Linked DNA regions of Xenopus tropicalis. The protein of the gene in region 2 interacts with the protein of the main gene of each other region in a pairwise test. Links are inferred from orthologs where the notes say so. Each region holds a gene or a part of one and is shown on either strand. Other genes may lie near its edges. The genes, in order: nup54 and ift20.

Evidence for each region.
Region 1: the proteins of ift20 (region 2) and nup54 interact in binary tests that used the Homo sapiens proteins (3 or more experiments, as listed by UniProt). The two-hybrid records come from large-scale screens. The link is inferred for Xenopus tropicalis from reciprocal best matches to the Homo sapiens genes IFT20 and NUP54.

The regions. Positions count from the first base shown.
Region 1 is NC_030677.2:81,673,125-81,680,759, forward strand, and holds the start of nup54 (nucleoporin p54), read right to left. Parts: upstream 4,120-7,635; 5' UTR 3,954-4,119; coding exon 3,908-3,953; intron 2,534-3,907; coding exon 2,435-2,533; intron 1-2,434. UniProt on the Homo sapiens protein: Component of the nuclear pore complex, a complex required for the trafficking across the nuclear membrane.
Region 2 is NC_030678.2:47,404,994-47,411,305, forward strand, and holds the end of ift20 (intraflagellar transport protein 20 homolog), read right to left. Parts: intron 5,444-6,312; coding exon 5,358-5,443; intron 4,611-5,357; coding exon 4,507-4,610; intron 3,839-4,506; coding exon 3,757-3,838; 3' UTR 2,946-3,756; exon of another isoform or gene 2,912-2,945; 3' UTR 2,530-2,911; downstream 1-2,529. UniProt on the Homo sapiens protein: Part of intraflagellar transport (IFT) particles involved in ciliary process assembly. May play a role in the trafficking of ciliary membrane proteins from the Golgi complex to the cilium.

The DNA.
Region 1 (7,635 bases), on a different chromosome or scaffold from region 2:
GTCCCTGCCCACCATAATTTTGAGACCTGCCCAACAGATATCTGTCTGATCGCTATCCAGTTATCCGTTATACAAGCCATCACTTTGGCAATAGGCAGACAAATATGACACCAACTTGGTCTAAAAAGGCCAAATTTGTAGGTAATGTTAGGCCATCCATGGCTACCTTTACTTTTTGTATGTTCTTAACCTCAGTCCTAACTTTCAAATATTAATATTTTATAAAATTAAATTGTGCATTGTCATAGTAGGTGTCCCATGGAGTCAAATTTAACAGCATAGAACATCTGCTAAACTCCTTGCAGCATAAAAAAGTTAAAATCACTTAGTCCAGCCCAACATAATCCACACTTTGATTAGATAAACTTCAAGGTGCACTGGGAATATGCACCATTTAACTCTGCTGGCAGCAGATTTGGAATGCCTTTTTTGGCTGAAATGGGGTACAGAAATAATTTTTAGGGATTCAGTTATGTGATTCAGTAGGTAGGGGTTGTTCTTCTTTAAAATCAGAAATTAAAAGAGTGCATTCTCAGAGAATTATGTAATACTAAGCAATGGGTAAACCTTAAAAGCACTTATATTAAGTGTGTTAGTATTGCATACTAACTTGGAAAACTAGCAAAATAACCAAAATATGGTTTGTAGCTGCAATAGTATTACCCTGCTGCACTGATCAATGCCTTTGTTGCACTACTGTCACCTATTCTTGGACCAATGCACTGCATTTTAAGACATACACATACATTCATATTTCTCTACCTGCACTTGCCAGGCTGTTACCAAAATTGAAGGGTGCTGCTGGAGCAGTAGACACACTGAAATTCCCAATGTTAAAGTTTAAAGCTGGATTAGCAGCTAGTCCAAACCCCCCAAAGTTAAACCCACTGGCATTGGAGGTCACCGATTCCAGCCCTCCAAATCCTGATGAGTAGGAAGCATGAAGAAAAGTTAGCAAGAATTAGAGTCATGTGTACAAAAGTGGGGAAAAGGAAGCAAAAGAGACAGTAAAAATGAAGTAACCCACAGCATTATTCAATTATAACAGTGTTTTTAAAGGACATGTAAACCCCACACACAAAAATGTAATTAAGTTGTTCTAAACTCAGATTACTAAACACACCCCTCCCAGTCTAGCAGCCAGTGAAGAGATGGCATTGCTGGTTCCCATAGAAACTCAGCTCTAGCTGTCTGCTTCAATTTTTCTCTCCTAACCTCGTCTCCTGAGCTCAGCTCAAACACAGCAGAACTTTTATCAGATACAGTTCTGCCTGTGTGAGCCTGTATTCTTGAAGAAATGTATGCTAAATAAGGGTGTGTGTGTATGCTGTTTGCAGATTTAAATGTATCTGATTATGTATCGGAGGAAAAATGGCCACCCAGTGAAAGTTGCTATTTGCTTTTGGAAAATGCGATGGTGATAGCAAGGGGAGGGGATATATGCAGTACAAATGATGCCATTTGGGTGGGGGAGATGTGTCACACTGATATACATTGTAGATAAATGTAGGCTTTACATGTCCTTTAAAAACATCTGATTCCAGAATGTTTGTGAGGGTTATCATTCATCCAGACCATGATATACAGTATTTAGTAGTCTAAAGAAACTGGACAGCTGAGTAATCTTGAAAAAGTGCACTCCAAAACAGAACACTGAACAAACGCTGGCCACTTCTCCCTTCGCACTGGTTTCCAGGACTCATGGGGCCTTTTGTGTGTGCACGCTATCGTCTGTAAACATTGTAGGTGCAATGTTTGGTTTTATAATATATTAAAGTAAGGTTTTTACACAATGTTGCACTCTTACTGCTTTCAGTGATTAGAAAAAAAGTACAATCTACAAGTGAATTTGAGGGGTCGTTTTATGGAGTTAATCTGCTGACAGCATTTATCTACCAGTTGTTTTTGAATACCACACAATATAGAACTGTCTTTTTGTTGTTTATTCTATACCCTTTGGCGCTGAAGTTTGGTTTCATTATTGAAGGATCACTTTGTGGAATCCTAAAACTTCAGCAAGGATTGGTTTGGTCATTTACATTTTGTTGATTCTTTTTTTACTCCAAAACAGAGACCTGCTTTCGCCCTTCAAATACAGCACTGTATTCATGAGGGGTGAGCTGGGGTGCTTGTGGCAGGGGTAGCAGCAAATGGCCCCTTGCAACTTTTTGACAAATCAATAACATTGTTTGAGTTTCAAAAAAAGACAAAACAGAATAAGTCAACTTAAATCTAGAGAGGTCTTCCCAAAAGTCTTGGTAAAATAATATGGAAGTATCTCAGGAAAAATGCAGATGCATTTACAAGATGTGAAAATTAAATGTTTTTACCCACATGAAGAATAAAAGATTATTCTAAAAGTTCACTCAAGAAATGGGAGCAGCACTGCATCTGATTTAACCATGATTTAACAAATAAGCAAGTTTATTCTTACCTCCAAAGCCTGTTGATGCAGTTGTGGTAGTTGTACCGAAACCAAACCCTGATGTAGTAGTCTTAGGCGTAAAAGTGCCAAGTGAAAATCCAGTTGTACCTAGAAAAGTAGATATGGGAAAAAAATAATTAGAACATATTAAATATAGGAAGCAAAACAAAAATTCAGCAATAAAATGAAAGACCCTTTTACATTTTGTGGCTTTATCATCAAAAGAAGACTACATTAGAACTGCTCCGAGAGCACTTGAGCAGGTTTAACTTCGTAAGGTTTTAAATCATATTAGAAGTTTAATGGGATGCACATCTAGGAAACAATACTTAGCTGATTTGAGGGCAGCCCAAGTGCTAAATGACTATATAGGTGGCTCCTCCTGTGATATACCAATCCCTTTCTCCCTGAGCCATTTTATAGCTGTACTGACAACTAGAAAGAAAGGTCCTACCAGTTCACTCCATTCCAAAGTGCTTTGTTGCCTGAATAGTTTATGTTAGTGCCATAATAACTGAAATTCAGTCGAGTGGATTTGACAGTCTCTGCTTACAGCAAAGAAAGTTTATTATGGGCAGTGTTGGACTATAGTGGCAGGGTCCCTCCAGAAAAATCTAAGATTATGGGCCCACCCTCTAGACAATTTTTCCTCCTGTTCTCACTCAGTCCCTTATTAGTCCTCTTTATGTGCTATACTATTCTTCCATCTATACAGATTCCATGTTACCATACAGAAATAGAGGGCCCACTGACACCTGGGCCCACTAGTTTTTATTTTATTCCAGTGGGCCAATATGACGCTCATTATGTTTCAGTTATTTAGCAATGTTTTTTTTAGATATCTGCATCAAAAATGATCATAGGTTCTTTGTGGAGCAGCTCACAGGCCTTTTATAAAACCTTCCATTTAATATCTGCCTCCCAATTTCCCAGGGTTAAGTTGCTCAAGAAAGGTTTTAAATGCAAGTAAATTGAGATTTTTTGCAACGAAAATAAATGCTTGGTGATGACATGGTTGCCAAGAACATTCTGGCTCCTTAGTCTGATATCGGAGTGTTTTTGCAAACATATCAACACTTATGTAGTCACTGTAATTTTCACTAAACAGTGCCTAGGCACTCAACCCCAAGATTGCAAGCTTTATGTGGAGGGAGCTCCCTCTCATAGTCTTCTAAGCCTCAATAGTTAATTTCAAATGCATTTTTTTTCTATTTATATGTTATTATATTGTTTACCATTCAATAATGTCATTATAACGTACAGAAATGTGTAAACAAGGTGTGCTGCATAAAAATCACACTCATTTTTCATTCATTACTACATTTTTTCTCTTAGGATCTACATGTGGGGTGGTTTACAGCTCTGGCACGACTATAACATAATTATGTACGAGCAAACCCAGTGATAGGTCAATGTCACGTGTGGTTCTTCTCGCCTGCCGGCCAATACATTTTCCCATTCCGGAAAATTTTGCTCGCTCACCTTGGTTGGCCGGCGTCCCAGTGCTGGCTCCAAAGTTGAACGCCATGCCCCTGCTCACCGATGCACCGAGGTTCTTTGCAGCAATTCAACCCACCTCCCACGACCGGCTTCAGAGTTAGACACACCAGGAGGTAGCAACAAATAGTAGCAGACCTGCTAAATCCTGATTAACTCCCGCGCTTACGAAAGCGCTTGTCAGATAGGCCCAGCTCAGAAGCCGGAGAACACGCCGCCTTGCGTAAGGAATTACGTATACGTCGAGATCATAGAGATGCAGGTTTCTGGAGAGACAGTCACTCTACAGTAGACGGATTCGCCTATGCGTACTGGAGAAGAGTTTGCGTTGCATATGGGTTGGGATATTTCTGGTTGGCTCCAATTTCTATAAATTTAGCGGATCTGTTTATCTGAAGTATAGGAAACATGCTGCTCACTTGTTGCTAGTTGCTGTCATTGTAACGGGCTTTGTATTCCTAGTGGCAATGCTCCCTATTAGGTTAAAAAATAGAATGCAAACACGCGTTTGTTAATAGGGTAAACTATATACCCCCATTTTTATGCTTTAATATTAGCTTATTCTAGTGCATGAACACTGTAAATTGTGAACATATTTTTATTTACACGGACATACCTTATTCCACGGATTAAAGGAAATTGATTTATCCTTGCTACATATGAACCACTTCCCGACCGCTGCTTGTAACATATGCTTCTGATTTCTATAGTGGGTGGTGCAGAGAGACCCTTACTTTCTTTTGTAGAACGGGAAGCTGGCAGGCCAAGATTTATTTAGTAACAAGTTTGTTCTATAGTACACAGGTTAATCCTTTAGTGCTGACATGCTGCCTAAACTACCATTACAGGATAGGAGTTCTTTTTGGAAAAAAAAGTCCTTGTGGTAATTCCCCCTGAGGTCACATGTACGTATGAGAGAGTGCAACAAGAAAAATGCAAGGTTCAGTTAGCATATTTTTCTCCACAATACAGCATTTTTCCTGGATGTCATGATATAGGCCTGTAAGAGTTAATTAAGCAGGCCAAGGTATCCCAAAATCTTCCAGAAATGTGCCAGAAAGAGATATATAACAGGCCTCTGGTCACTAGGGTCTGGAACCAGCCATGTGTAAAGGCCTCACATCCTGGAACGCCCAACTCTAATCTCTGGCTGATAAGAGCCATGCCATGTGAGGGAGTGAAACCCACGTGGGGGTGACTTAGAGTTCACATTGGGACCCATCATAGGTGAGGTGGAGATCACACCATAACCCAAACTCACAAACATTTATTGTCCCAGAACCCATACTATTTATACTAGAGGTACCAAAACCTGAGTATATGTTTCATTTAAGATGGCCTTTCTTACGGGTCCAAACATCGCTGGATTTGGGTTCTCGGTTTGTCAGATAGGAGTATCTGGGCAGGGGCAGGTCACACAGTAGTGATGTTTAGTCTGTATGGGACCGGTGGGATCATTTAGAATTGATGAACCTAATTTCATCTTTCTATTATGTTCCCACAAGGAGTTATGGACATTGGTATCATTGGACCAGTCCATACACAGGAGGCCATAAAACTCACACTGTGTCCTGCTAATGGTGACTCCCCTTGCATTCCTGAGGGAGGGGGGAGTGTCCAGTTACCTGATCCCCTGCAAACTGGGATAAATAGTCAGCTCTTCTGACTATACTCGGATATTCTGTGGAGGACCAATTTCTATTAGAAGTTTATCCTGTGGTTTCCCCTTGCCTCCAGGGCTAGAAGGACTTTGCTTGGTATAGTATAGGACTTCTATATTTTTCCCTTTTATTTTAAAACTGTTTGTACTTGTTTTATCGTATGTCCTTTTTTGTAACATCTTGTTTTAAACTTGCACTGTTATACTTTTTATAATATTATAGTGTAAGAAGTATGAGAGTGGTGGCAGCAAGTTGTGTATGAGTTTGTGAGCGTTGGTTGGTCTTTGGGGTGCTGTGATGCTAGTCTGACCTGGGTGTCAGGTGTGTGAGACTGAGCAAGGGACCCTCTAGACAGCCACGCCTAAAGTCATGTGCGTCTGAAGTGGCGTAATCGTGACACTGGAATTTAAGCTTCATTGCAGTTGCCATGGGGCAATGCACTTGAAGCAGTTTTTAAAGGGGTTGGTCTTCATAGTTAGTTCAAAGTTAACTTTTAGTATTTTATAGTATGGATTTTAGCACATTTTCAATTCATCTTTATTTTTTATATTTCTTGTATTCCTGGCAGGTGCCATTTTGTGCTGTTATTAAAGGAGACATATCGTATAAAAATACAGAATGTACCAGTGAATTATACTCCTCTAAATATAGAAGGATTGTGCTTAAAAAAAGTTGTGTTTTAGACAGATTTATTGAGAAATTCCACCAAAACCACACTAGTCCCGCCCATCTGTTCCACTTCCTGCTTGCTGAATTCACTGGAGCCGGCAGCTGTCAGTACAAGGCACTGTAGGATAGGAACCAATCAGCAGCTAGGCTGATCTGTTAGGGAATTGAAGGCTGTCTTTGCTTGTGTGAGTGCGAGGCAGTGATTGGCTATCCCCCTCCTGCGGTGTTTCTGTTAGGGCACGCCCACCCTTCATTTGAAACAGAGAACTGATAGGATCTATAGGGAGCTCCAATAAAGGGGCCATCTTTACAGACAGGATTCATTTTTAGCCCAAAGTGAAACCAGCACCATATATTATTCATAATTGCCTTCAAAATTTTCCATTTATACAATATGTCTCCTTTAAGGCAAGCTTTGCATCCTGCCAAAATCTTTTTTGTACCAATATGGGTGGCCTGATACCCATGTCCATGCACAGAACAGAAAAGAAATAGCTGCACCTTCCACAATTAAGTTAAGCTCCACCAAATGTTAACACTAATGTATAAACAAGATAGAGGGGGAGAAATGTCTCCAGATAACGTGCAAATGAAGTATTTACATATATAGAAAGCAGCAAGGAATTAATATTATAACCTCATGTACAATGGTAATAGGATCACAATTGATTAATCACAGATGAATTTTCTTATATACATTTCTATTGTAAATATTGCTTGTAAAATTTCGCCCCCTTGTGGCCACTGTGTGAAATTTGTTTTTCTCTTAGTATGGCTAAATATCCGATTTAAAAACCGGCACACAGAGGGGGCGTGCTAGCCCTTGAAAAAGCTCCATTTAATGGGAGCGAAACACGCGTCGGGCAGAGCGGCTTGTTCTTTTTGGGGGGAGGTCGGGCTGCAGATGCGGGGGGCCTTCTACCTAATGGGGTGGGTTTGAGAGGGTGCACGAATACTGTGCAGTTTTAGGAGCGGGGGTATTTCGTCCTAGGGACAAGGGAGGCTTTACTATAGTGGATGGTGGGGCGACTTACAAATGCTGTGGTGGTTGGGCAGAAATACATAATGTACAGAGGAAAGTGCTTGAAAGATATGTTTGTATTAGGAGTGCTGTAGTAAAAGCACTCCAATAAGCACTGGGACGTTCTACATATATTGGGGTGGCTGAGTGGGCAATGCTAACTCTCAGATGAGACTGCTCAAGAATATTTTGTAAAAGGAGCGCTGTAGTAAGCAGCAAGCACTGATCTTTTCCTGGATATACTGAGAAGTGGTTACAATTGTTGCTAATCTGATAAGGGACTTTCCCTATTACTTCTTAGGGCTTTGGCACACGGGGAGATTAGTCGCCTGCGACTAATCTCCCCAGATTGCCATCCCACC
Region 2 (6,312 bases):
AGTTGGGTTTATAGACAAACAGGGGGACCTTCCTCGCACACCCTTAGCTCTCTAAAAATTTGAAACGCTCGGTGCACAATGCTGGAGGGATGGGCACCCTCCCAAAATTACAAATAGTAAAAAAAGCACTGGCATTTAGAGCTGCAAATGGGACAAGCCCTTTAGAAATCTTTATTGCGGAGATGCAGACTTTTTGGGGCAAAGTGACCCCTTCTTCAAGCATGCTTGATAAAGGGATCACTTTGCCCCGTATATAATTATGTATAAATATATAAGGGGATCATATATAATAATCACTCTAAATGCTTTATTTGCCAGTAGGTCCTTTTAGCAGATACAAGAGTATCCATTCTGATTAGAATAAAGGAAGTTTTGTCTAAATATTCGGAAAGGGTTTTTTCCAGTGAGAGCTGTGTTTGGCCAGATGAAATCAGTTGCACTGGCAGATACATTATATATGATGGCTTTTTAGAAAGTGAGGGAATATAGGGTTATGGACAATAGCCCTTAGTACAAGTTGATCCAGGAACTGGTCCGATTGCCATCTTGGAGGCAAATTCAAGAGGTTTCAGAAGGGTTTTTTTTTGCCTTCCTCTGGATCAGCTAGCAGTTAGGCAGGTTTTATATAGGCATAAAAGGTTGAACTTGGACATGTGTCTTTTTTCAACCTAGCTTACTATGTAATTAGCCATTTGCATCTCCGAAGAGAGAGCTGGGTTAAGCCTTGCTTTCTTATGCCTTTAATTTAGATATGAGCAACTCACAGATATTTATGCCTGTAACTACGTGATTTTAGATAAATATCAGAGCATAAGACGAGGCTTATGGGCCCAGGTGACAAATTTTGCTGACTGGGACATTTATCAGTCCTACTTTATCCTTGCCACCTGTATCCTCAACACTTGCCACTTAGTTGCTGCACCTCTCTCACTAGCCAGGGATTCTACACCAGTTGCACTAATCAAATAAAGCCACACACAGTTGTAAATGCAAGGGGCCTTACCCCATTTATTGAAATTACTTAGTGCCAAGGTTTGGGTTCCCATAGGTACCAGGTATGGACCTCAGAGATTACTCAGTCATTCAGCAACTGCTTGAGACTGCACTGTTCAGAGAACTCCTTGTTCCTCAGTTGCTTTTAGTAAGGTTACATTTTTGGTTTTGTGATTTACAAATTACTAACTGGTAATTCCTATTCCAGGTAAGTGCTTAAATATCAAGCAGTTTTGTTGGGCTTTTAAATGGAGTCTTGTAATAACACATTCCAAGAGCTGAGTTCGTGGTGAGAGTAGCACGAGAAAAGGAGGAGATCTGGTGAAAAATGTCCTTGTATCTCAGGCTGCTTCTCTAATACAGATACACCCATAGAATGGACTGTACAGTGCCTCTCTGGCAGCCTTGTCTTGCGAGACATCTCTGCAGTGAAGCTAGGGGTAATGTCTCTGCAGATTCATGGCGTGGGCAATGCACACATTATATTTTGCATAAAAGTGCTGAACACACAGTGATCTTAAAGGAACCTGAATGGTGTTCATACATGATGAGAACCAAAGGCAAAAAAAGAAATTGATTTACACATGTATTTCTTGAAGTTGAAGTTGGGCTTGGTGCTTGGGCTTTTGGGAGTTAGAGGAAACATGCAGATACTCTCTGAATGTTTCCCTGTGGAGAAGACAAGACAAGACAAGACAATGAGCAGGGACAATCTTTAGGGAAACATTTTTTTGTTGGGGCAAATATAATCATTGGGGAAGGGATGTGGGTTGATCTATACATTCGCAAATAATTAGTTGTCCTTAGCAGTATCTGTTCTTAGTTAGTGCCGCTCAACAGGTTGCAGACTCCCGTGGTGGCTGCATATAGTTACAAATATGATAATTAATTTACCCGGAGAGCACAATAAGCCTTATAGCTTCATTACAGTGACTTGTGACTTTATTGTGGAGACTTCATGCACTACATGTTTTACCTCAACAGCCTTCTTCAGGTGCTTGAAATGCATGAGGTCTCCACAATAAAGTCGCTGTGATGAAGCTATAAGGCTCATTGTGCTCTCCGGGTAACTGAATTATTGTATTTGATTTATACATGTTTACTCTGTATTCCTAAGCACCCAGAGATCAAACCAATGTAGTTGTGCTTTAGTACTTGCCCCATGAGGGGGGAGCTTTTTTTTATTTTTTGCTAACAGCACAATTTTGCAGAAAATTAGAGTGAACAAACTATAATTTAGAGAAAAAGAACTATATCAGATTCCCTAAAGTTCTCTCCAAATCTAAGCGGCTATGGAGAAACAGTGGCAGGGAGTAGATACATTTTATGTTGAATGTGGTCTCACCAAAGATGTCTACTGTCAATAAGTACATAAGCCGAGCATCAAAAGGTAACTAGTTTCCAATATTGGAATTGTGTAACAAGCTGTGAGGCACCTTTTGCTGTTGCTGCTATCTGCACCCTGTCCCTTCTGCTCACTTGTACACTGGCATTAACAATTGCCTAAAGAACAGAAGCACAGTTGAAGCATTGTGATACATTTTTCTTTTTTTATAAATCGAGGCAAATTAAATGTACACAAAAAAGCATCCATATAAAACATTTGTTTCTATGCACTGAGAGCACAATACTTATCCATCCACTGATCAACAGCACTCCAAGCAATTTAACATGTGCAAATAAATGATATAAAATGAGATACATTAAAAACTAAACAAATCCAACTCCAGTTTCAGTCACGACCAACATGTATGTAGAAACGTACCAATAAAAACGTTACCCGTCGCCGTTGCTCGGCTTTTTCAATACTTCTGATTTAAGATGAACTGTGGGGTATTTTCCCCTGATGAACAAGAACACACTATAGAAATGTTGTTGCTAAAGTACCAATGATGTACGTGTGTGTGTGTGTGTGTGTGTGTGTGTGTATATATATATATATATATATATATATATATATAGGCAAATTTTGCTGTCATTCTCTTCACATTTCCAATTATAATAACCGCCCATCTCTGCAAAGCGTTTAAATCTGTTTCTCTCAAACTGTGAGGCTATTTTTAAGATGTGAGTTGTCCCCATATGCACATAAGCATACATGGAGCAAAGTTGCTCTTCTTACAGCGTTTTCTGCAAAGGCAATGTCAAAAATATATATAACCGTAATCTTTACAGACATGCAAAGCCCTGCCTATAACTTCACAGTGATGATTCAAGTGGGTGAGATATCGGTGAAAACAGGGTTTAGATAACCTTAGGTGGGGTAAGCTGAGCCAAAATATGCCAGCATAATCCCTGCTAAGCGGCTATTACTGATGCATGACTGTTCATTGCAGGAAATACACATTCTTAAATGTGCTGATGTGTTGCATTAAATACATTGTGTCCAGCATCTAATAACTGTACTTAAACTATGGTTTAAAAAGCACTTGGGCAGATAGAAAGTATAATAATACATTTTAATGTTTAACAATGATTTAAAAATAGGCTTGTATCTCTTAAAGCTTCTTGACCGGTTACTTGCTGGAGAGAAATGCTGGTTTTGTTCTTTTACGATGAAATGTCTGAAACAGCAGAGCTTGGTCAGGTGTCCGAGAATGCTTTAGACAAAAGGAGCAAGTAGTATTGAGGAATGTTTTATTGAACAGTGCTGCAATGTCCAACTGGAATTGCAATGAAATGTGTGTACTGAGAAGAAATTCTTGCTGGGAAAATAAAGCGACCCGCGCAGTCAGCCAGAGCAATCACAGCCTGCAAGTGGTGCTATTTCTGGAGGTTAAATTGATCAATAAATTCATTTTGTTCAGCTTCCACTTTACACAGTGCCTCGTATTCTATTCGGTACCTGAAAGAAAGGAACAATAGAAATCATTATCCAGGAAGCTCCCAGATATAGAAGAGCCATTTCCCATTATGTCCTACTTATAGGGGACATCTGCACACCCATATAACTTCATTTAATATTGCTCTTATAGGCACATTTGCAGTTACCATATGTGTGTGTGTGTGTGTGTATATTATATGTGCGTTTTTTTTTTTTTTTTTTAATTTCATGTTAGCAGTTTTAACCCTGCTAATATAAAGAATGTGTAACCGAAGCACCCTTTGTTGTGGGGGCATTTTATATCTTATAGGGTGCCCCTTTCTCTACTCCAAAACATGACACATTGCAGTTATCCTCAACCTATCCCAGGCTGTGCCTTGTATTCATTATGTTCCATTCAAGCTAAACGTTTGTCTATAAATTATTCATGGAGAAAATATCTTCCTCCAGCTTTATATATACTGACAGACCACCGCCATCATCCTTCTTCAATTAAAAGGCTAATCCAGAGAAGTCTTGCTGCTGATGACAATTGGTGGAGCAAATAACAAAGTTGGTAGAGTTAATATTTGCACAAACTGTTCCTCAGGCTGCACCACCCACCTTATGCACAAATAAGCAAATAAATGCAACTTATGACTAAACTGAATACATACAGGCACAGGATTTGCCCATTGGTAAATACATACCTTTCTAGTTGCATTTTCTTCTCTGCTATTAAGGCATACAGTTGCTGCTGCTGGGCTTCTCTTTGCTTTGCTATAGATTTTAATAAGTTCCGGGCACCTATTGCCTATTAATGAAATAAATACATTATTATTTAAATGTTTGGCCATACACTCAGCTGATCATTGTGCTGTGGGACTACCAAGCACTATTCAAGACAAAGTATTTCTACAGCAGATTGATTGCTGTGCTCTGTGACCAAAGTGTATTACTAGCAGTTAAATCAAATGAAAAGCTGCATAGCATTGCATCTAAGAATGCATCGTAACGCATATATTGTGCTACTAAAACTAAGCTTGCTTTTGTTTACCACAAAACTCTCTATTGTATTATCAAGTGTCAAGTGCAAAAAATGCCCCAATGCAGAAAAGAAAACACGACTGCAATTAAAAATAAATTCTGACCACATAAGTACAAACAGACAGAATATAATGGAATTAATGAGCTGATGTGTTTAGCAGCGATTGAATAACCATGCATCAATATCTAGAAAACACCAGTGTATAGCGGCCTGCCTACGGTTTTTCTGTGACAATACTGTACGTGTTTGGCACAGTTTGCAAGAGAGTGCTTTTAATATTGCATGGGATTCTTTCTGCTTCTTACATGTTTATTTCTGTGTCTGGTGAGGTTACATCCAGTAGGCAGAGGACAACCATGCCAATAAACATGCTTATTAATATCTGCTTTAGTCGGAAAAATAGAAAACAGTGGTGTTGGCATGTCCATCAATCACTCTAACCAACCCTTGGGGGTATTTCAGACAAAGGGTGAATAGTCTTCATTTAAATTAATTAAGAATTTATATCCTCACCTTCATTTTTTCGTTTTCGGTTTCTTTTGCTAGCTCATCAACAAGTTCAATTAGTCCACCCACTACTTTCTGAAAATGGCCTATTTCTAAAGAAAAAAAAAAAAAAAGGCGCCATTTGTTAGTAAGAAACACATATTGATATAAGTGATTAACATTGGGATCTGACACTGCAATTCTCTCATACTTATATATGAATCACAGATATGCAGGCTTCCAGCAGCGACTTGCTATAAAAGGCATGTGACAACAGCTGGAGGGCTGTAAAAATATTCTCTAGACCTGGGATCCCCAACTTTTTTTTTTTTTTTTACACTACTCGTGAGCCACACTCAATTTTACAAGTGTTGGGGAGCCACACAAGTATGAACAAAAAATTCTTTAGGAATGCCAAATAAGAGCTGTGATTGGCTAAGTGGTAGCCCCATGTGAACTCCTTGCCTCCAGATAGCTCTACTTGAAGTAAACCTGTGTCTTTGTGTTTCCAAAACTTGCCTCCAAGCCAGAAATGTAAAAATGGGCGCCTACTTTGAGGCCACTGGGAGCAATATCAAAGAGGGTGATCGGGAATCACTGCCCTAGACTAATTTATATCTGGAACGCCAGGATGAGCAGCATCTCCATTTGTACTTAAAATAGCAGCTTTTGGTGCCCATGCAATAATTATGCAGCAGCTGGAAAGTTAAAGCTATATACACGTGGCTTCTGTAGCCTCACAAAGTATGGAACCTGTTATCCATAATGCTCGGGGACCTGGGTTTTTCTGGATAAGGGATATTTCCATAATATGAATCGCCATACCTTAAGTCTGCTAAAAATCATTTAAACATTAAATAATCCCAATAGTTTGTTCTGCCTCCAATGAGGATCGATTATATCTTCGTTGGGATAAAGTACAAGGTGCAGTTTTATTATTACAGATAAAAATGAAATCATTTTCAATAATTAGAATTATTTG